Oreochromis niloticus: one gene and its partners. The main gene of each other region encodes a partner of the protein of the gene in region 2 in a complex. Links are inferred from orthologs where the notes say so. Each region holds a gene or a part of one and is shown on either strand. Other genes may lie near its edges.

What was found.
Region 1: the proteins of arrb1 (region 2) and grm3 are in contact, whole or in part, in a cryo-EM structure (PDB 9II2), measured with the Homo sapiens proteins. The link is inferred for Oreochromis niloticus from reciprocal best matches to the Homo sapiens genes ARRB1 and GRM3. Residues at the interface, in NP_004032.2 of Homo sapiens: Gly5, Thr6, Arg7, Val8, Phe9, Lys10, Lys11, Ala12, Ser13, Pro14, Tyr21, Arg25, Arg65, Glu66, Asp67, Leu71, Gly72, Leu73, Thr74, Phe75, Arg76, Lys77, Arg103, Leu104, Lys107, Pro133, Arg236, Phe244, Asn245, Thr246; in NP_000831.2 of Homo sapiens: Pro605, Lys608, Ala609, Ile669, Phe670, Asp671, Gly672, Val673, Lys674, Asn675, Ala677, Gln678, Arg679, Lys681, Phe682, Ser684, Cys761, Pro762, Glu763, Phe765, Val834, Val835, Thr836, His837, Gln855, Ser856, Ser857, Ala858, Ser859, Thr860.
Region 3: the proteins of arrb1 (region 2) and ap2b1 are in contact, whole or in part, in a crystal structure (PDB 2IV8), measured with the Homo sapiens proteins. The link is inferred for Oreochromis niloticus from reciprocal best matches to the Homo sapiens genes ARRB1 and AP2B1. Residues at the interface, in NP_004032.2 of Homo sapiens: Asp384, Asp385, Val387, Phe388, Glu389, Phe391, Ala392, Arg393, Arg395, Leu396; in NP_001273.1 of Homo sapiens: Arg834, Gln835, Phe837, Leu838, Trp841, Lys842, Asn846, Glu849, Ile876, Ala877, Arg879, Val881, Glu882, Gln884, Tyr888, Glu902, Arg904.

What each region holds. Positions count from the first base shown.
Region 1 is NC_031972.2:54,846,756-54,854,704, forward strand, and holds the start of grm3 (metabotropic glutamate receptor 3), read right to left. Parts: upstream 3,082-7,949; 5' UTR 2,923-3,081; intron 2,586-2,922; exon of another isoform or gene 2,392-2,585; intron 605-2,391; 5' UTR 514-604; intron 1-513. UniProt on the Homo sapiens protein: G-protein coupled receptor for glutamate. Ligand binding causes a conformation change that triggers signaling via guanine nucleotide-binding proteins (G proteins) and modulates the activity of down-stream effectors.
Region 2 is NC_031979.2:38,769,094-38,777,078, reverse strand, and holds the start of arrb1 (beta-arrestin-1), read right to left. Parts: upstream 3,090-7,985; 5' UTR 2,830-3,089; coding exon 2,771-2,829; intron 1-2,770. UniProt on the Homo sapiens protein: Functions in regulating agonist-mediated G-protein coupled receptor (GPCR) signaling by mediating both receptor desensitization and resensitization processes.
Region 3 is NC_031975.2:24,344,364-24,352,007, reverse strand, and holds the start of ap2b1 (AP-2 complex subunit beta), read right to left. Parts: upstream 3,082-7,644; 5' UTR 2,927-3,081; intron 706-2,926; 5' UTR 688-705; coding exon 651-687; intron 534-650; coding exon 428-533; intron 1-427. Other genes in the region: tectonic-like complex member MKS1, read right to left, coding at 4,681-4,784, 5,125-5,222. UniProt on the Homo sapiens protein: Component of the adaptor protein complex 2 (AP-2). Adaptor protein complexes function in protein transport via transport vesicles in different membrane traffic pathways.

The sequences.
Region 1 (7,949 bases), on a different chromosome or scaffold from region 2:
TCCTTTTATACTCTGTAAAATTATGTTCCGCTTTTAATTGGCTAGGACATTAGTCACACAGATAAATAAAGAAATAAATAACACTACATGGAATATCCATATTGCTTTCTAAAATCCCACAGTCCCAAAGCCACCGCTTAACAGATGTTCTGTTCAATATGTACTGTATGCCTTGATAAGATTTAGTAAAATACCAACATCCCAAATTCAAGCTTTCCTGATGCCTGTGTTATGGTTCCAGTATATTCTCGTCAGATGAAATACAAATACTTCATCCAAAATAATTCAAATGTCCTGAAATCACCTCCTATTAGAGGTTTCTGTAAAAAAAAAAAAAAAGTTTGTTCCTTGTTAGCAGTGGGTGACTTTTAATTGAATATAACAAAAATATATAATGTCTTAAAAAACACTCTTGCAGCAAAATTCCCCTTTTCCTCTCTCCTTTTTTTCTCAGCAGTTAATGTACATCCTGCCATTGGTAACATATAGTCACCAACTTATGATTAAACACACCTCCGTCTCAGCTGTCACGCACAATCCTGTCAAGCTGTTGAGCAGGTGCATTTCAGGATGTTAGAGCTCCTCACAGCACGTATGGCTATAGCTGCAGAAAAGAGGTCATGATATAGGTGGCGTTCTAAAAATTTCTATGGGTACTTTGTTATATTTCTTCTACACAAGTTGCTTTTGGACTTAACTGCTATTAACTGCCACTGTGCCCCATGAATAATAAAACTTTTTAAATGTCCTATAAAAGCTCAAAGAACTGACTACAACATAAATTCTCATCATAATCTCTCATTTATGGCTATAGAAAAAGGACTTTGGCTAATACGTCTGATTTATAAGAAAAATATATAAACTAATAAAGTCAACTTGTCATCGCATCACAGAAAACATCATCCCATAATATGTAGTGGTCAGCATTTCTTCTAAAGTCAGAATCTATGTTACAACACAAGCATGCACATACACACACTGTGCACTGCTCTACAGCAGCTAATGATGAGGTTCTGTAGTACATCCAGTTCAGTTAGGTGTAGTGTGTGGAATATACATGACCATTTCTACATATATAGTACATACAAACAAATCAAAATCACAATCAGAAGCTTGTAAGCACATTTGATAACAAAATACATCCATTCAGCAGGAGAAATTTTCAGCTGCCTTACCCACAGATTAACATCTCCTGACACAGAAGAACGCACATAAATACATTTACACATAAGCATGTAAACATAAGTTAAAGTCTTAACATGTCACTACATCCCCACCTATAGTTGTCATCCTCGCACGCACATGCTGAGAGAGTTATTGATGTGCGAACTCTCTGTACAATTGTGAAATTAAACTTAGTTATGCAACAAGTTTCACAAAGAATTTACACTCAGAGATGTTGCTTTATATCAATAAGGACATCTCAGCCTAGTTAATCAAATATTACATTTTTACAATATACATAAAAATCCATAATCATAGAAACATGAATATTTTATATTCATATATATTATTCTGAAAAAGCATGTAGCTGTCATTTTACACAAGCAATGATAACATGTTCACGTGGAGGAAATACACTCGTATCTAACTGAGCAACAAAGTTAATTTAAAAATTCTCATTGCTCTTTATTTAGTAACCTTATCATTTGGATATTGCAATTCTAATACAGTTAAAAAACACAGTATACGATTATCACAAATAGACATTTGATCATGGTTTGGTAAAATTCTATATCATCTAGTAGTTCCCACTTCAATACTGTAACTCCATTATAACATAAACATTATTTTATCCTTATCTGCTGCATATCATTTTAGTAAAATATGACAATTTTGGTTAAAATTGATTAAGAGTAACCAAAAGTCTTTCACTGACTAATCAACACATTGATGCATGCTTCAGCATGGGTGGTGTGGGGCAGGAATGATATCTTTTCTGAAGTGTGTCCAAAATGCACCTGAATGGGTACACCAGTAAGAATTAAACACGAAAAATACACACACCTAAAATGCAGTATTTTTGTTTTTATGTTTATTTTTAAAAGACAGCACATTATAGACCCCTAATATATTAAAGCTAATTACAACCTCTCTCTTGGGGCTTATAAAAACGCACCTGCTCTACATGAATTCGGACACGGGCCATGATTTTTCACTGTTTATAAAACTGTAATTTGCAGTTGTTTTTCTAGTAGAGTGCAGAAGATTAAAAAGAAATGGCCAGTAATAACATGTGGGTTTGGCTATATGAATCAATATGTTTATCCAGTTATCCACTAAGTTGTTTTACCCCTCTGCTTGTTAGTGAGAAATATAAGATTGCTAGTTAAAGCCAGTATAGCTCATAGACAGCAACTAATGTGGACATTCCCATTTTGTTGGTTCTACCTTTAGTGCAGGTCCACTTGCCTTTCCTCTAGCGCAAGGTGTGAAGTGGATCCTTAGATGCAAACGGAAAGTAACACTGATAAACAATAACCAGATCCAGATATCGGATCCACCTGTATGCCTCTTTTCAAAGACTACCCGCCCATCCTTCCCTGGGAAGCCTAAAGCCGAGGGACATGCCTCAGTGCGGTTTGTCTGAACCCAAATAACTTCTCCGCGCGGAGTGAAATACGCAACTGCAGATAGTCTTTGTTTCACCTTCTGTATCTTTATCGTGCATCTGCTGCAGAGATTAGCAACCATTTTTCCCCCGCTGACACAACCCACAATTACTGAACGTGACTGAAAGGAAACAACAAGCACGTTTATGCAGTACAACTGGCTTTTTAAATCCTGCGCAAAGTTCAAAGCAAATTGCTCCCTACAGTAGGATTGGCTGACGCGCGCTTGAACGCTCCCGGACTGTCAATTCTTTCACTGCACTCTGACAACCACTGCCTACCAGTCAGGAATGTGTGAGATTTGACCTACCTTGACGGCTTCGATCCTTGAAAGGTTGCGCACAAATCTCAAGCTGCTGGAAGTTTGACTTAGTCTACTCCTGATCCCTCGGAGGAGTCGCACTGAGAGAGAGGATGGGCGCCACTGCTCTGCGCGCCAGCTCCGTGGCTGTGTGTGTGTGTGTGTGTGTGTGTGTGTGCCCGTGAGCGCGCGTGCACGAGAGAAGAGAGAGTAAGTGAGAGAGGGAGAGAGAGAGGGAGAGAGAGTGAAACAACAGACGAGCAGAGCTGAAGCCCCTTGCCAAAGGATGCTTCAGTCTCCTAGCAACAACAATCGATCTGGCAAGGAGACATTTTTATTGGATAAAAAGAAAACTTAGCCACTCACCCCCCCCTTTAGCACATGTTTACCACTCAGAACAACAACTCCAGCTTCAGTGAGTGAAGACAGAGAGTGAGAGAGTGAGAAGAGAGGTGTGTGTGTGTGTGTGCTGCTCCAAAATAGATGTTTTATGTGTGTAAAGGTGCAGAGTGACACAGAATTTGTTCGCATTCATCTGTCCTTGTAGCCCGGCTCAAAACACATAAGCAGTGGTGTATAGATAAAAATCCTTACCCCTTTTTTAAATTTTATGCAGACTCTATTAATGTTTAAAACACATTATTACAGTCAATTTTGTCAGCATGAAGAACAGCACTAAACATGCAGCCCATGCTTCAGATAGCTCAGGCATATTAGAAGAGAAGGGCATCCAACCCTGGAGATGTGACTAGAAGTTTACATCATGCGTCACACTAACAGGATGCATGATATTTTTCACAAGTTAGGTGTCAGTCTCTCTTACCTGTGTATTTCCCATCAGGAGAACAACAGAAGGTGGCATTCAGTAGTGTGTGCGTCGGTATAGGTGTGTGTTTATGTGTACACACGTACGCATCTGAGTATCTGTACTAGTACGATTATGCATATGGAGTCATTAGAATGCAAGTATGCAAGTGTGCAGCCCCTATTGAACAGAAAATACTCTTCACGCATGATTGAGTCACACAGCGTCCTCTTTCTCTACTCAACACCAATACACACAGAAATACGTAGTACAATGCACACACACACACACACTCGAACACAGGCACTCATTCGACTAAGGCTTGATTTTTGTATTGTAAAGTTAGTCAAGTGCATAGAGATAGCCTGTCTGAGGGCTTGCTCAGAGCTGTTTGTGATTGCAGCTAAAGGCCACAGCATGTTGTTTTGCCTGTTTTATATGGAGATTTATGACAGGGAAGTTTCTAACTAGCTTGGACATTTTTCCATACATGCAATGCATGATGTTACCTGGCATCAGAAAACTCTGAGATTCAGCTTTGGATGAGAAAAGATTTCTTAGTTAACTGAAGAAGAAAGGGTAAGAGCATCCACTTCACACCTCTGTGAAACACACATGCATGGGAAAGAGGTGGGAAATGCACACACTCTCACTTGTGCCCAGTGTCAGTCACAGCTTTCTCGGACTTCCATTCCTCATCCCTGCCGTTCCAGCTCGGAGATGCTGGCTACTCTAATAAAGGCCTCATTGTCTGGATGGCATGCATATATGCAAAAAGCCTAGAAAGCCAGCTTTGTCCCATAAGGGTCACTCAGCTTGAGAGCTTTGTGGCAGGCCTTTCCCCACAGACAGCAGAGTCAAAAAGAAAGAAAGAAAGAAAGAAAAAAGAAAGAAAGAAAGAAATCGAGAGAGGAAGAGAGCAACAGAGAGAGAGAGAGAGAGAGAAATGAATGAGATAGATGGCAAATGTGGACATCCTGAACGTCACTGTATGAAACTACCTCATACTGTCATGTGTATTTGTAGAGGAATTTAACGTTTTGCCTTATCATGGTGAATTGCTCCAGCTCATGCAGCAGGAAATGGTTCCGCTGGGATTATGTTTCCTTCTTCTTTGATTCCCCACAGATTGTTTGTGTCCATGCGCTAACAGAATTAACCATGCTTCATTTCCCATGGTCTTCTGTCCTGTCTTGGCCTCGTGATGGATGGAGCTTCACACAGAGGAGCGAGTGTGCTTAGAAGTGTGCCCAGTGTTGGTCAGACAACCGGGCTAGTTATAAACACAAGCGTACATTTGCTTTGGTCAGTGTGGTCACTTGTGATGTTGCCAAGTGGACAAAAGAACTCCTAAAAACTTAAAGCTCGAGGCTATTAGGGAAATTTCTGTCTGACATTAAAAAAGTATATTTTTTAAATTGAGTCTTATGGTTAGTGTTGTTAAGTGTGTCTGTTTATTCAGATGTGTTGCTGCAAACTTAAGCATGTTGCCATGTTCTTTGTAGAGAGAAGAGGCTTCAAACAAGGCTAACTGTACAAGTACTGACTGTATCATTTAACATGCTGCGATGTCCACTCCCGGGAAGATTGGCAGCTGTCTAAAATGTTTTCTGCTTGAAAAACATGGATTATTGTGAATAATAATAAATGAACAATATAATAATAAGAAAAAGTAAATAATCTCTGTTACTGTAGAATGATGGAGTTCAATTTCTTTGGCGATTGCCTCATAACAGTTCCCAGATAGATATGCAACTTAGTTTTTCACACATTACACACTTACACATTTTGGCTTAAATTTTTTTAATAAATAATTACATGATTTTGTTCATCTGAGGTGGTCTGTACCTGATGTTGCAATTTTAGAACCTGCTAAGTTCTCATATATAAAACCCTAAAAATGTAGACATTCTTTTACACATGACTGTAGTTCACATTTTTTGTAAACATGCATTACAAAAAACAACCAAAACCCTGTAACCCAGGTTTTTTTGTTTGGTTTGAATACTTCCTTGATAACATTGTCTTCTCTTGCTAAGGCTCAAAACACTGGAATGGTCTGTTCAGACTAGATGCTGTCACAGTCGCTACTCCACACAAGTCTGCCAGTGTGTAGCTGGCATTCGAAAACAATGTTCATATTTGGAAATTAAGATGCATATCAAATTTGCCCTAAATTTGTTTTAGATGAATAGATAATAATGTGTGAGTTTGGGATTGTGTATCAAATGGTTAATGTTGTTTTTGGCTGTTTATGGCTCCTAACAGGGGGTTGGGCTCTAATTATCCTGGTTACAGAGGCATGGCCAACAGACTGTGGGCCAAAAACACTTCACAGGACGTGCACTGACCTGTCTCATGTTCGTCTGCTCATCAGTCACCCCCCCTCCATACACACATAAACGCAAAAAAAACTTTGTACTGAATACTTTGTCACTGAACAGTGACTCACCTGGCACAGCCTCAGTCTGCCAAGTTTTACATCTAAACATTATTTGCTGCTATGCAAATATGTAAATTTCAAATAGAGAAAAAAGAGTGAAGAGCAAAAACAAGAATTCTAGTCTGTGTTTCTTTTTCCCACTGTTTTTCTCATTGTGTTTTATGGTTTATTGCTTTCTAATGCTATTAAAATACCAAGGTCCCCCTGTTTGCTGGTTGTTAGCTTTACAGTTCAAGCTACCCCAGAGCCCATCCTGGCATCCATGGTGATCGATATAATTGGGGATGGAACCAAGAACTAGCTTTTTTCCAGAGAACTGGTTCTTGTTAGTTCAATCGCTTGTAATTTTTAGTCTGCTTGCCTATCACTTCCACTTATCAGCTGAACTTGCGCTACAATCAGCCGATTTCAGTTTGTGTGCAGGGGAGGAAATTAGTGGCGCAGTCTACAGTGTGGATTTTATTTTTTATTTTTACTGCACAAAAAGACAAGAGTGTGATAGTGAAGTAGAAACTGTATCCAGGACAGAAACAACTGCATTATCAACTTTCGCTCATTGCAAGCACTTGCACAGATTGCATGCTAATGCTAAGCCAGCGAAGGACCCAGAGTGATGTTGAAGCTGAATGAATGCAGAACCCAGCCCTGCAGGCAGATCCTGAACTTCAACAGGTAACAAAAGCAGTGATGAGCAGTCAGGTTGCAGCCTCTGTTTCCACCTGTTCATGTTTATAATGTAGAATCGCTCTGAAGTTTCTGTGTTGGTTTCCATACTTGCTGTTTCTGGTGTTCATACATAAATACTAAGAGTGTCCTCATTAGGATAGGGATTTGTGTTGGTCTGTGGGACTATAGCCAATAGGTTTATATTGAGAAATGGTAACTATGAGCATTTCATGTGGAAGTACTGTGAAGAGTAGTGTAACAAATTTCTTTCTAAGGGGAGTAACATACTGCAGTACTTTTAAGAAAAGTATATTTGTGCACACAACGTGCACAAACAATTGACCACACAGCATGCAGTTAATTTGCACAAATGTAATGTCTTTGATATGTTGTTTAGCGATGGTGGTGACTCTCAAAGCAGAACCAAAGAGAACCCAATGAGGATAGATAAGAGAACTGATAAGTGATATTGATAATGGGATTGGAATCACTACATCCCTACATACTGCCACACCTTTTCAGTGTCACATGGAGGCTGGGGATGGTATCTGTGTAGAAACGGTTAGTGGACTGAGGGTTTACTAACAGAGTATCGTACTGTTCAGCCTCCCCCAAAAAACTTTATTCCAGGGTGCTGAAAAGGAGGCTGTCACTTGGAGGGGCAATATGAATCATTTCCAATCTAAACGGTTTTATGGATTTGAGTTGGCTTATGGCCATGTCCCCTAAGTAATTGTACACTGGGTTCAACACTATAATGGAGTATGAGGACCCCTTGTTGAGATCCTATTTTCATTCATATTTCATATACGCATAGATTTATGAACAGAATTTCAAGGCAAAGTTGGGATGATAAGTGTGTCCAGTCCAGCCTCTGCTTTTTGCAGTTGATATGCTTCTTTTAGTTTTGTTAGATCACAGGCTTCACTTCCCATTTGGGACTGTTTGAAGTTGAGTTTCATGAGAGTTAGCACCTCCAAGTCTGAGGCAGTGGTTTCCTGCTGGAGCAGGGTGTATTGTTCACTCCAGGCAACAAAAGGACTCTTGTGATGAAGTGGGAGCTCAGCTGGAAGTCAAAAACCTCACCTCTGGTCATGAGCTCTTAGTGTTGACCAAAATATT
Region 2 (7,985 bases):
CACAGTCACATATTACAGAGGGTGTGCCGTCAGCAGCTTCCTCTCTGCATCTCTGTCTAATGCTGCCCGACAGCATGACCCCCCTCTCCTCCCCCCACGTTAATGTTGTCATAAATTAGCTGCTGTGGCTCCATTAGCTTTCAGCTTCCTCCTGAGTGGCTCTTCATCAATCAGCAGCATCGGGACGCCGTTTTTAGCCGGAAACCGGAGGGACTCCTGGGAGCTGCCCACTGCACGATCACCTGCTCACCACACTCTCTGCAATTAGGCCAATTAAACTTTAACACGGAGCAGCTCTGCCATCTGAAATCACAAATCAGGCTGAGCGGCTGGAGGTAAAACACCGGCTCCGTGACGGCGACAGCAGAGACGTTTATCAACCTAGGTTGCTTAAACTTGATCTCTTCTTGATTTTTAATCACAGCTGAGCGAACGTGTCGGCTTCAGACGGCCGCAGGGACAAAACACGACATCCTCACAAGCCGCTGTGCTAAACACTGGACATATAAATGCTGGTGTTTGTGTGAAATGAGAGAAAAGATGCTGAAAGCTTCGGTAACAGGAAGTGAGCGTCTGAGAGAGTGTAAACACGATTAAAGATTCATTGAAAGAGAGCAGAGCTGAATCTTCAGAGCCGAGGATGCGGTTAGAGCTTCATCGCACAGACGTGAATCAGTGCAGGGTTACAGCACGAGAGGGGCTCACATTTCATCTGAACACGAGTAACGACTTTATCACATCAAAGACGCCAAGACAGCTCAGAGACAACCGAGAAGTCAGAGCAAATATTATTACATTTTTCCTCTTTTCGCTCTCAGGGTCCAAAGCTGCTGCCACACAGTGAAGCACCTGGACAGGTACATCTGTTTAGAACCACCACTGAACCGAACAACAAGCTGAAATCAAAGACGTCACGTGTGGCAAAACACCTGATGTGGGTTCTGACGTCTTCCTGCTCTTTCCTGTTTTCACGCCACTGCTCAGGTTCACCCAAAGTGACGCCAGTCCCTCTGAGGCTCGTTCACACCTGAATAAACACACTTCCTGTGTAAGAGAGTGATGTGCGTGACTGCACACCCCAAACGCTCTGATGCATCATCATTGCTCCTTGTTGTTGGTTTTATTGTTGTTATCACTCAAACTGATGTTTGTTTTTAATCAATAATCCTGAATATTGATGAATATTGACGCGTACAGAGACATTTCTGTCACAATAAAAAACATGGATCCTTCAATGCAACCGTCTGTTGGAAGAACTTTCACAGATTCATTTGCTATTTTTCTGTATCAGGAATAAGTTTGGTACCTTTGAGATTTTCTCACACTTCTTGGTTCGCTCGAGGTTTGTGCAGGTGAAGCAGCAGCGCCGCTGATCGATCGGCCGCTCTGACACAGGGGGAACGCTAACTGCCCGATCGATGCCTGATTGTTGTGTCAGCTCTGCAGCAGCAGACGGCCGATGATTGAAGACTCCCTCGATACCCAAACTGCAGCAAAGACTCAAACCGGCATTTCTCGCCTCCTCAGATGTACGACCGCCGGGTTTCTCTAACTGGAGTGTGACCACCGAGCTGCACCTTCGTTCTGGCCCTCGACCGGCTCAGGATTAAAGTCGGACCTGGTTCTGCTGGGCTCAGGAACATGAATGAAAACCACCAGCATGAACACGTGAAGATCAGCCTCGGCCACGCACAGGAACAAGATCCAGAAAGTCCGTCGCCTCCTCTGAGCCTGAGCCGGTTTCAGATTATATCCGGAGATCACAGATGTCTCTGGGCTGCAGAGGGGAGGGACGTCCCGCGTTTATCAGTGCTTACCTCATGGCACCGGAAACACGGGAATCCAACAGAAACATCTGGCAGCCATTACAAACATCTGGAGCTTCAAACAGTTGTGAGCACAGTGTGAAAATTTAACCCACTGTGGGGAAATAAAGAGACATTTTCAGTGTCCTGACTCACACACCTGAACGATTGTGGAAATCAGTCACCGAAGACGTTTCACCAAGAACCGAAGAGGAACCAGCAGTGCGGTAACATTTTAAAGCTGCTTTGGTCTCATTTAGTCAAAATCAACCCAGACCATCTGGAGCTTTCCCACAGACACCACGGAGGAGCAGCGTTTACACGAGCAGCCAGTTCAAACAGAAACCCTTTATTACATTTTCTATTAAACATGAAACTCTGTGAAAAGCAGGCTGGAACCTGCAGCTCTCAGAGTCCCGTTACTTTCTCAGGTGATTTATTGTTTGTTCCATGTGTTAAAAACTGGGAAAAGCTCCTGGAGGCTCCGTGAATCAGCTGACTCCTCAGGTCCTCCTGCCAACTTTAGCTTTGACTTTAAAATCCCCGTAATTACTTTTAGGGCCTGGCATAGCCTGACTGCAGCATTAATCAATGAGCTGCTGATCACACTTACTGCTGACAGCTTTATTGCTACAGCACCTTCTAACATTGAGCGAAATCTAAATGCTTTATATAAAACTAAATGAGCAGATATAAAATAAAGACGATGCTGAAATCCAGCCCGTTGTTTGTTTTTTAAAGCCGGTCCTCACTGCAGTTAAAGTACTAATACCACGAAAATACACCAACCAAAAGTAAAAGAGGAAATATCCGGTAAGAGTCAAGCTGAAGGAACGCAGTGGTCACTCAAACAACCACAGGATGCAGAAGAGCATCTCTGAGGCCACAGCAGCAGCAGCAGAAGACCACACCGCTGCTGCTCAGCTCAGCACAGGAAACTCAGGCTAACGTTCACACAGACTCACAAAGCTGGACCACAGAAGGTGGAAAAACACGTCCTGGTCTGATGAGCGTCGATTTGCATCTGCGTTCAGCTGCTGCAGGTGTGACCGTCTCAGCGCTCAGATCTCCTCACACAGGCTTCCTGAACGATCCGTTCGATGCACTCAGAGCAGGGACGGGAGATTCTCATCACGGATGCAGACGGAAAATCTGCAGCAGCTGTGTGCTGATGTCACATTGATGTCATAATCATGTGGACCAAAATCCCCGAACAGAACGTGTCAGAGCAGGTACAGCAGAGCTCTGCGTGGAACAGCACCTTTTCATTTCCTCCCTCCTGATGTGTACAGCGGTCGTATGTGAATATTAAACGAGTCACAAACAAACCTGAGAGCGTGACGTGGCTCAGTCCTGTCCACTTATGCTCCACACAAACACTCAAACAGATTCTGGGACTGACGCTGCTTCCTGTGAAAAACTCCTCAGAGAGTCTCCAGAGCTGCTCTGTATGTCTGACTGATCAGCAGAGCTCGTTAATATTCTCCCGACGCGACTCATTCAGATCATTGAGCCCGAAAACACAGAAACCCACTCAGACACAAGACGACGGCAACCGCAGCGCAGAAACGCTCCGCCGCCACATTCACCATCAGAATGAACACGGCAACACGTTTCTGCACGTCTCCTTTATTAGAGCTTCGTTTTACTGCGAGTCACAAACTGAGAGAAAAGGACGTGTGTGTGTGTGTGTGTGTGTGCGTGTGCGCGCCTGTGTCAGATGACCAACAGTCAGAGAGGCAGAGGCTGAGCGTCCATCAGCAGCCGCTGTGTCGCTACGTCCTCCGTACTCAGAAAGGACTTCATGTCACAGGACGGTGACCCTTTAACGTCTCAGCCAATCCGGGCTCTGATGGCGGGTGCAGAAGTCTAAGCAGATCTTTAAGGTGGTTTAGAGGAGGACTGCTCTGAAGTGCAGGCAGATATACGCAAGCAGCTGTTTGAAGAAGACACCTGATCTCAGCCCAGACTCTCTCAGACAAATATTAAGAGATATATGCAAAAAACCACGCAGCTATGTTATACCAGCAACTGACTAAAGATGTGCAGGAACCAAAGCCGCTCCTCATCAATAAGCCAAAAAGTCCCTGTTGCATCTGAGCGTGCTCAGTTTGGCCTGAAATACAGTACAGTGCAAAGGTTTTAGGCAGGTGTGAAAAAATGCTGTAAACAAAGAATGGTTTCAGAAATATAAATGATTGTTTATTGGCCCCAGATGTATTCTGCCTTTGGGGTCAACGACCCCAAACACAAAGCCAAAGTCATTAAGAACTATCTTCAGCATGAAGAAGAACAACAAGTACTGGAAGTGATGGTACGGCTCCCACAGAGCCCTGATCTCAACATCATGGAGTGTGTCTGGGATTACAAGAAGAGACAGAAGGATGTGAGGAAGCTGACATCCACAGAAGATCTTTGCTTAGTTCTCTGAGACGTTTGGAACAACCTACCAGCCGAGTTCCTTCAAAAACTGTGTGCAAGTGGACCTAGAAGAAGGCAAAGGGTGCTCACACCAAATACTGATTTCTCTTTTGTTTATTCACTGCATTTTGTTGATGGATGAGAATAAATGATAAATGAAAACTTTTATTTTGTTTACAGCATTTTTCTTCACCTCCCTAAAACCTTTGCACAGTGCTGTAGATTAAAGAGGTGGTGCTGCCAGTGCATCATGGCAGCTCTGTCACTGAGGACACACCTGCAGGGTGAGTAGCACTGATGAGTTACAGGATGCACACTGTCCACATCCATGAAAAAAGACAAATAAGACACATAAGACGAAAGAGTGCTGCCGTCTCAGACCAGCTAAAGAAATGTGTCATCACGTCACAAGACCCTAACAGTTCCAAAAACACCCCAAAGCTAAGCTTAGCCAGCAAGTCCACAAGGAGACCCGAGGCAATCATGCGGCGCTTACACAGCTGATGGATAAAAGACCAGGACTCCATCCCTGTGGGACGCTGGCATCGATCATGAAGGGGGCAAAAAGTACCAGAACCAACATCAGAACCTGAATGATGATGTCATACCCCACCAGCTGTAAGATGAGCTAAAGAACCTCATCCAGGACTCCCGACCTCCACCCTCGGTCTGAGGAGAAACCTGCTGTTGGTACTTGCCTGGTTTCAACAGCATCACGGTAGCTAACAGGCTCAGGTGTATTACAGTACTACTCACCTGGTTTGAAGTTCTGAAGACATTCTGGCTATGAGCTAATATTTTAGAGTGGATAGGGTAACGGGTTGTTTTCAGTCTGTTATGAAAGCCTGTGTGAAAGCTTCACTGTGGTTATGTCACACCGTGATCGTGACATGCAGCAGTGATAAACCTGCACGCCACTTTCAGGTGCGTCTGCTCGTCATCGCCATTAAATGATTAACGTTTTCATCACACGCGGTTATATTTCATCCTGATGGGTTTTATAGCCAGCACTCAACTTTAACTGGACAGCTTTGCTGCGAGGAATGTGGCACGCGTGCAGGGTATTTTCCCGGCGCTGTGCTTGTGTATATGTGTTTAATTCACCTGCCAGTAGGGGGCAGAATGAGGAGTCTGTGCTACATTAGCACCAGTTTTGCAGAAGCAGTGTGGAGCAGTGGGGGAAATCACTGCACCTGCAGCGTGCTCGGTTCGTCTATTTCATCTGGTGAAGTGTTTCTGCGACACTGCTGAGGTCTGCGGGGTGGAGCGCACTCAGCTGGAAGATTTCTTCCTGCTGCTCACATAAAGCAGGAAACGGAGGCTTTGGGCCGACTTTCTGCTGCTGTCTATGCTACGAGGGTCGCCGCAGCTTTAACCTCAGACTGTGAGCAGCTTGGAAGCAGCTGAAGCTTCCTTTATTACCTCCTTTAGTAAAGGATGCATCAGAGTTTCCTTTATGAAAGGAAAGGAGATGATGGCATCCCACAATTCACAGCAACGACCCATCAGACCTTAAAGGAAAACAAACAGGCCATCATGTGACTTACTGCTGAGTTTTCCACCCGATGACGGCCATCTTTGAGCGACCACAGGTGAGCTCTCATCGTGTTACTGTGTGCACACCGTCTGTACACAGCAACCAATGAGAGCACAGCAGGTATCTGAGAGGAGCTTTTTGTAGTCCATCCGCAGGACTTTGTAGTTTCACCGCAGCAGAGCCTGCAAGCCACAGCTGATTCTCAGAGTGCCGCAGTCCTCCTCTTCAAGTCCTCGTAAACAGTCCTTCACATCTTTACTTCCCTTCCACTGAGGTCAAGGAAATGTGATTAGAGAAGATGCAGGAGGTCATTTTTTCACTATTTAACCACAAATCAAGACTCATCTGCTTTCTGCAACAAGAACTGAAGCCGCTGAACGTTTGCACTGGTCTGTGGAAACTCAGGGAGGTTCAGTTGGTTCCTGCAAGCGTGAAGCACCATGCTTCACATTTAAATTCAGTCCAAATGGGTACAGGAGCCAGTCTGTGCACCACGGTGGATTTTAAACACAGCCCCATTTTCAGGCGCACAGACTAACAAAGTTTCCAACTTTTATGATATTTTCATTGGGTGAAAGTGTTTTGCAGTCAACAGCAGGACACTGCCACATGCCACACTTCCTCATTCAGCTGCTTGCTGTTTGTGGGTCTCTGCCTTCAGCTTTAGTATTTAAGAGCAAACAAGTTCAACACTTAACCTGCTTAAATTCTCGTGGAATAACGAGGGAACAGGCCTCGCTTGCTGATCAAAGTGCTCCTTCATCAACCGTCCAAGTACGTTTGGAGAACTGTGTATAAACCCTACACAGGAACAAAATAAGAAACACGTGTGTCCTGAGTGCAACACTAAAGCCTCTGACCGGTCCTCACCGTGTACCGCCACGAGGAGCCTTCACACACGTCACTGTCTGCATTGGTGCTCGTACTTGTGAAACAGCCTCAGGGCATCAAGGGTGGTGATTTGGGAAAGCCAAGTATCCCAGAATGCATTTCACACAAAACAGCAAGCAGCAGTGGCAACAGCAGCAAAGCTGGAACCTGGAGTAAACTTTCAGAATGCTACTGTTGTTGTGCCACAAAAGTCAGTTTTAAGATATTTTGGGGGAGAATTTAGTTGTTTAGGCTTCATATGTGTGGGACTCATCACAGGTTTGAGTCGACTGATCAAAATATTACCAAACTGAAAACTCCAGGGATGTTTTTTCACCCTTTTCTTGGACGTCTCTGCGTCTCTGGGTCTGACGCACATATTGCTGCATCTCGACCTGATCGCACACCTGAAGAATGTCCTGACATATTTTAAGCCGCACACTTTGTCATTGTTTGTCTCTTGTAAGCGTTGGAGAGACGATGACTCAGTAGTCATTCCTGTTATAGTTCTCTGAAGTGCGTCACCAGGGGCGTACGCATAGTTGGTCTCTGCAGATTGGTCAGGCAGGCGTGAAGACATCCACACCAATCATCAGCTCACCATCTCATGAAGAAATTTACATCACTAGCAGATTCGCAGACACGGAAAATGTCTTGACAAGCACACATCCACATGGTGGTCCTTCCATGAAGCTACACCATTAGTATGCATGAGCTGCCTCGTTGGGGACGACTTCCCCGTGTTATGGTGTCATTGGTGGGACCCAGTCTCATTGCCCCATCTAGGAAAGGGGCTCGTCAGTGAGAGCCTAGTTTTTGAGCCTTTACCCTCGTATGAGTCCTCCATCGCCACAGGCTTTCAGCACACTGGTGGAGGATTATGGATCGGAACACCAGCTGGTCAAATTGTCTCTAGTCTCCAAAATATTTAATTTGGTCAAAGTCCCAGCAAAGTCCTGACACTGAGGAACCCTGAGTTCTCAGTCTGATACTGGGAATGCAAATGTGTGATTCTTCATCGATAAGCATCATCTGTGGGACAAATAAGCTGATGTTTTGATCCAGCTTCCTGTTAGTAGGCTCTTTCATGCTTCGCCTAACCTGAGATTGTGAAGTTCCTCTGGTGGATGTAACAAGGAGTCAAAGAGCAAGTCAGCTGACACCGACTATAATGGACTGACAAAGCTCTGGATTTTAAACCCAAACCTGCGGTTCCTCTGACGTCCAGCAGAGGCAGCAGTGAGTCCACCTCACAGACGTTACAGCGAAGAGAACCTGTTTCCAGCCTGATACACAAACTGTTCGGTCTCTGTGGATCATTTCTGCTTCATAACACTTGTACGTTCCGGGAG
Region 3 (7,644 bases), on a different chromosome or scaffold from region 2:
CTTGATGGATTGTCGGAGCATTACGGCTATCGCAGGCAGGAGCCTCGCGGAGTGATACGTACTGTGCTTCAACATAATATTACCGTATTGTGTGTGTATAACCTCTTTTTAAGTTTTGTGGATATTATACATGGTTATGCTGAGGATATGTCGGCCAATTTCTACTGGAAATGGCTTTTGGTTAAACTGTCCGCAAGGAATTTGCAGTGTTACATTTTTATGTAACTTTAATGCACATAAAAAACAGCTGCTTGTTTAAGTGAAAATACATTGATGGGTTTCTTTTTGCACTAATAAAGTTGTGGAGTTGTAAAGTATTTTGTCTAGTGTCAATTATATCGTCAGTTATATCGTTATCGCAAATTTTCAAATGTATATCGTGATAAATATTTTTGGTCATATCGCCCTGCTCTATTTTGTAGTATACCTGACATCTTTGCCAACAGTCATGGCAGCAATGACCTTCTTCACTGCCTCTTTCCTCTTCTCCTTCTTCTCATTGTTCAGCTCTGCCTTCAGTTCAAAGATCTCCCCTGAAAGATGAATCAGATGAAGAGTTGAAAGCAGTGCTGTTTATATATACACTGCCATAAATTTCCAATCTCTAACATGCCCACATGAACAAAAAACAATTTCTCTTCCATACTCACCTTTTTTGTTTGTTGTGAAATATTTCGAGTCCGTCATGACTGTTGTCCTTTAGTTCTGTAAAAAATAAATAGATAAATACATTTAAAAAATATTACATAATCATTCAGTGAGGCTTTAATATACAATAACAGTCTGTAGTACCTCTTCTTCCCTGATCTGCCATATGACTAAGTGATGTGGTGACAAGCCACAAAGTAGTTCAATGAGATTCAGTCATCAGGTTTGCCTCCAACATAGTACACTGTAACAGTCAGTAATAAATCTAAAAATTTTACAGGTTTCTTCTATGACAGACCAACCTGATGTGTTTAGTTTCTAAATGAATGTATGAATAACTGCTTTACAAATACACAAGGTTACACTACAAGTATGGAGAACACCCCTTTCAATAAATAACTGAGCAAAATCCATACAGCAGTAAAGTGGCTTCATGACACTGGTTTGCATGGTGATGTGGAAATGAAAGCCTAAGAGCCCCAAGCAAAATGCCAAATATTAGCTGGAGTGGTGTTAAACACAACCAGTGGACTACAGAGCACTGTAATCTTATAGTCTGGATTCATTAATTAGGCTTTATTTTCAGGCATTGTAATGGAGGATCCTGGGTTTGGCAGAGGTTAGGAGAACCATTTATGTCTGAATTATACACTCCCTACTGTTTTACAGAGTATATGAAGTTCTAGTAAACTCTGAAATAGGCAACTTAATTTTATCATAATGCACCACACTAGGGAAGCACCAAATGCAATTTTATTATGTTTAATTTGTTTTTGTTATTATTCATTCCCCTTTCTTCTTCTTTCAGATGATTCCTTTAGGGGTCACCACAAAGGATCATCTGCCATCCCATCCCTAGCATCCTCCTCTGTCACACCAGCCCTCCTTCGCTAAATGCATGGATTTTATTTTTTGTATTTTCTTTGCAGTCTTCCTCTTTTCCTCCTGTCTGGTAGTTCCATATTCAACATTCTTTGTCTGGTATATCCACTATCCCTCCTCTGCACATGTCCAAACCACCTAAGCCTTGCCTCTGTAACCTTGTCTCCAAACTACTCAACCTGTGCTGTCCCTCTGTACTTATTTCTAAACCTGACCAGTGTGGTCCGAGCATATTGTGCTGTGACAGCTCCAGCTTGGCCTTCCATCTTTTTGTCAGTTCCACTAGAGCATATCTCTGCCTCTCCAGGCTCTCTTTCACCTACTCCCTTGCTTCAAGCTCAACTGCAATTTGAAATATAGTCAAGCAAAATGCCTTCTGGAGAAAGGTTTTATGGTCAGATGAGACAAAGATTGAGCTATTTGACCACAGTGACAAGAGATATGTTTGGAGGAATAATGGTACGCCTTTCAAATCTAAGAACAGAGTGCCAGCTGTCAAGCACGGTGGCGGTAGATATATTTACCAATTCTGACGAGAAGAGCGGTCAAATGATCAGCAAGAATTATGGCTGAAGCTTGTTGATCGCTACCAAAAGCATCTGGGGAAGATGCAACTTACTAAGGGACACTTAACCAAATATTAATGGGGGTTTATGTATATATTTGAATCTGTGTGGATGAGAGAAAATCCAACATAATTTCAAATTTTTGCAGTTATTAATGATGTAAGCTCTGCAATCATGCAAACCTGGAAAAGAATTCAAAGTTCAGAGCAATCATTAAAAGCACAAACATATGATATCGATGTCCATAATGACTGTATGTAAACCTGTGACCACACATTTGTGTATCTGTACAGCCCTAGCTAAAACATGCTATTACATTGAAGAAAACGTACTTAGGGTTACATGTTAAAGAATTAAACCTTTACTTTAGCCGGCATTAGCCATTTTCTTCATCTGTATGGTGAAGAAGAACCTACTCTAATCTAACTGTGACATTAACTGCTCTGTGTTTCTGGGTGTGACGACGTTTGACCTCTCAACAAACATCAGGTTAGCTTTAATTAACCGGGAGGCACAGCACTTCCACTTAGCTAGCGTTAGCTAGATGCTAAATACATCCGCTCCCTACTGCGATACCACAAATATTAACAACAAACTCCAAACACAGACAACTTCTAACATCAACCTGGGTTTACAGTCCGATATGACAAGATTGCGTTATGTTAAATCTGGAGTCAAAATAGAAACGTGAGCAGCGGCCCAGTTTCCAGGAGCTGCCTTTACGGTAGCTAAACGATGAGCAGCCCTGCAAAAATACAGTCGATACAAAATCACAACACAATGACAGCAAGGTTAAAAGAAGGTCCTGTACTGTATAATATCGCCCATACCTTGCTGAGTATACGTGAGAAGAGAAAAATATTCCACTGGGTGTCAGACGCAGGCTGCTCCTTCGTCTGTTTGGAGGAAGATGGAGAACCAGGATAACGATGGTGCATTCACACTCATCGGAAACTGGACAACTTCCCTTCTGAGGTAAAGAATACCAGGATGCGTTGTTGCAGCGAACACATTTCGTTGATTTTATAACGGCTGTTAGTAGATGTTTGTATAGTTAAGATCTGCGAATATAAATGATGTATTATATAAAATGTATATGCAGATCCAGGAAACCACAACCGGCAATGACATCACACGGTTTCGAGGTCATGTGGACAAATCGGTCTGCAGGGTTTATATTTTCTTTGTAATTGGATTCACAAGCAAATATAAATCAGTGCAAACTTTTGTATTTAAAGGGGAAAATTACATTACATAATAAATGACTCCATATGACGCCACGGTTTCCTATTATCATGAATGCAACACTGGAGGGAATTCTTGGTAGGGACCTCGCCGTGTCCTCACAGCCAGGAAAAGAATTCCATAATATCAGCGTTTCACCTTCACTGTACAGTCCTGCCTTTTTCAAAGCAGTTTCAAGTCAGGGGCTGCAAAGTACTCCCCTGGGTCTGAACGCAGCCCAAGAGTTGGAAAAAGGAAGGATACTCATGTTGATGTGAAATATGTTCAGTGCCTCAGGCATGAAGGAACATGTTGAATCAGACGGGTACATTTTTGTTATGTTCAAGTCCTTGAAACATGGAATTCTTGCAAAACACAGACTCTGTTAGGTACCATGTATCCGATGGTCCAACAAATCAGACGCGGTGTATATGATCCCTTCGATAGCTCAGTTGGTAGAGCGGAGGACAGAAATTCTTGGGTCACTGGTTCAATTCTGGCTCCAAAACGATTTTACAATTCAACTATCTCAAGCACATGTGTCGAACTCCAGACTTGGAGGGCCGCTATCCTATTGAATGTAAGTCATCTATTAAGATGCTGAACTGCACTAAGCAAAACCTGTGCTTCAGTGGAAAGGACCAAAGTGATTCATAGAGCATGGAAACTTTGTAACCCCCCCCCCCCAGCATTTTTAGCCCTCAAACTACAGAAGAAAACCCACACAAAAACAATATTTTCTCAATCTGAAAAGACAAGCGCCCCCCCAAAAAAAGATTTAAAAAAATACTTTTACATACAATCTAGACTGTGTGAACAGCTTTAAACTACTGTATGAATGCCCCTAAATATCATATACCAAATATAAAATATAGTGCATGAAGAAAAAAGATTTAGATTTTTTTAAGTATTTAAAGATAATTGTAATAGTTGATATAAAATGTTTATATTACAACAAATATGACAACTACATTGATATTTGAAGTAACCAATAGAAAATATAAAACCAAACTTTCAAAACATTACTTTATATTCACAAGGTTTTAAAAGCCTCAGTTAACGCCAACAATCGGACCGTTTATTGAAATCAAATATAAACCGTGACTATAAAAAAAAATGCATTGCCAGGTACAACCATACATAGCAGGTATAATGGCTCTGCTATCTATTAATTACCAGCTTCACTCATATTGTAACTTCATTAGTACACCATCCACTATGTTAGCCATAAATACAACAATTAAAACATTGAGACATGATTTTCCTCTTTGTGAGAAAAATTCACTTATATCACAGCCAGTGATAATCTATAATCTAAACTTCAAAAAAAACAGTAACAGCCTCACTCCATTTTTCAGACTTAAGCAGAGGATTCGATTTGTAGCTGGGATGCGCTGCTGATCAGGTCTTGTGGAAGACTTTTTCGGGCTTCTTGCATCTTTTTCCTGGCCCTCTGAAAGGCCTCTGCAAAAGGAAGAAAGTACCAGTCGAATACTACACACATACAGAGAAGGCTTACATAGCAATTTATAACAAATACACACAGAAATAACAAAGGAAAAAAAAGGTTAACTGTTTTCTTGATTTTACATATTACTGGTATGAAATAATACGCTAATGTTAGTCCACATTTTTTAGCTCAGAAAACAAACCAAGCTATAACCAATCGATCCATATCTCACATATGTCAGACTGAAGTGCTGAAAGAAACTTGTATCTCAGTGAGTCGATTTCCCACAGGGTTTAGCTTTCAAACTTATCCATAGCCTAAGCTCAGTGGGTCCTGAAAATCCAGACTTCTTACCCAGGATGGTGCAAACAGCTCCTTGCTGACTAAATCCTCCCAGCTGGTCAAAAACTCTCTGCCTCCTCTTCTTCAGCATGGCAGTATCAACAAAGGCCCTGCACATGAAATTAAAACATTTCCTGTTATCACTGATTATCATCTGAATGCAAACAAACCGAGGTTTGGGGCGATCGTGGCTCAAGAGTTGGGAGTTCGCCTTGTAATCGGAAGGTTACCGGTTCGAGCCCCGGCTCGGACAGTCTCGGTCGTTGTGTCCTTGGGCAAGACACTTCACCCATTGCCTACTGGTGGTGGTCAGAGGGCCTGGTGGCGCCAGTGTCCGGCAGCCTCGCCTCTGTCAGTGCGCCCCAGGGTGGCTGTGGCTACAACGTAGCTTGCCATCACCAGTGTGTGAATGTGTGTGTGAATGGGTGGATGACTGGATATGTAAAGCGCTTTGGGGTCCTTAGGGACTAGAAAAGCGCTGTATAAATACAGGCCATTTACCATTATATTATATTATATTTGCAACACCTGCATTAACATAGAAATAAAATTACAGTGTATTGTGGGACTGTGAAATAGGAGACAGTTGTGAAGTTGTAGATTTGCTGCTGTGTTGAAACAAATAAAGTCTAGCCACCAAAGAAATGTGATTAATCTATAACAATGCAGATAATGTAGAGCTTACCAACCATACAGGGAGTGCAGAATTATTAGGCAAGTTGTATTTTTGAGGAATAATTTTATTATTGAACAACAACCATGTTCTCAATGAACCCAAAAAACTCATTAATATCAAAGCTGAATGTTTTTGGAAGTAGTTTTTAGTTTGTTGTTAGTTTTAGCTATTTTAGGGGGATATCTGTGTGTGCAGGTGACTATTACTGTGCAGAATTATTAGGCAACTTAACAAAAAACAAATATATACCCATTTCAATTATTTATTTTTACCAGTGAAACCAATATAACATCTCCACATTCACAAATATACATTTCTGACATTCAAAAACAAAACAAAAACAAATCAGCGACCAATATAGCCACCTTTCTTTGCAAGGACACTCAAAAGCCTGCCATCCATGGATTCTGTCAGTGTTTTGATCTGTTCACCATCAACATTGCGTGCAGCAGCAACCACAGCCTCCCAGACACTGTTCAGAGAGGTGTACTGTTTTCCCTCCTTGTAAATCTCACATTTGATGATGGACCACAGGTTCTCAATGGGGTTCAGATCAGGTGAACAAGGAGGCCATGTCATTAGTTTTTCTTCTTTTATACCCTTTCTTGCCAGCCACGCTGTGGAGTACTTGGACGCGTGTGATGGAGCATTGTCCTGCATGAAAATCATGTTTTTCTTGAAGGATGCAGACTTCTTCCTGTACCACTGCTTGAAGAAGGTGTCTTCCAGAAACTGGCAGTAGGACTGGGAGTTGAGCCTGACTCCATCCTCAACCCGAAAAGGCCCCACAAGCTCATCTTTGATGATACCAGCCCAAACCAGTACTCCACCTCCACCTTGCTGGCGTCTGAGTCGGACTGGAGCTCTCTGCCCTTTACCAATCCAGCCACGGGCCCATCCATCTGGCCCATCAAGACTCACTCTCATTTCATCAGTCCATAAAACCTTAGAAAAATCAGTCTTGAGATATTTCTTGGCCCAGTCTTGACGTTTCAGCTTGTGTGTCTTGTTCAGTGGTGGTCGTCTTTCAGCCTTTCTTACCTTGGCCATGTCTCTGAGTATTGCACACCTTGTGCTTTTGGGCACTCCAGTGATGTTGCAGCTCTGAAATATGGCCAAACTGGTGGCAAGTGGCATCTTGGCAGCTGCACGCTTGACTTTTCTCAGTTCATGGGCAGTTATTTTGCGCCTTGGTTTTTCCACACGCTTCTTGCGACCCTGTTGACTATTTTGAATGAAACGCTTGATTGTTCGATGATCACGCTTCAGAAGCTTTGCAATTTTAAGACTGCTGCATCCCTCTGCAAGATATCTCACTATTTTGGACTTTTCTGAGCCTGTCAAGTCCTTCTTTTGACCCATTTTGCCAAAGGAAAGGAAGTTGCCTAATAATTATGCACACCTGATATAGGGTGTTGATGTCATTAGACCACACCCCTTCTCATTACAGAGATGCACATCACCTAATATGCTTAATTGGTAGTAGGCTTTCGAGCCTATACAGCTTGGAGTAAGACAACATGCATGAAGAGGATGATGTGGACAAAATACTCATTTGCCTAATAATTCTGCACTCCCTGTATAAGTACTATATATCTCTATTAAATGTTGGGTACAATACTTAAAAAGTTTATTACTTGTCATAAAAACAAGAAAACAAATATTTTAGAAATCTGTCAAACAGCTGTTTAAAACTAAAAATCAAATTCCTTTTTATTAGACTGGAATTCGTGTTTTCATTTCATTCATAATAATAATAATAATAATAATAATAACAACAATAATAGTGTGCTTTACTATTTTCAAAATATTATTTCGATTAAATAGCTCACATAAATTTTGGTGGTTAACCATTA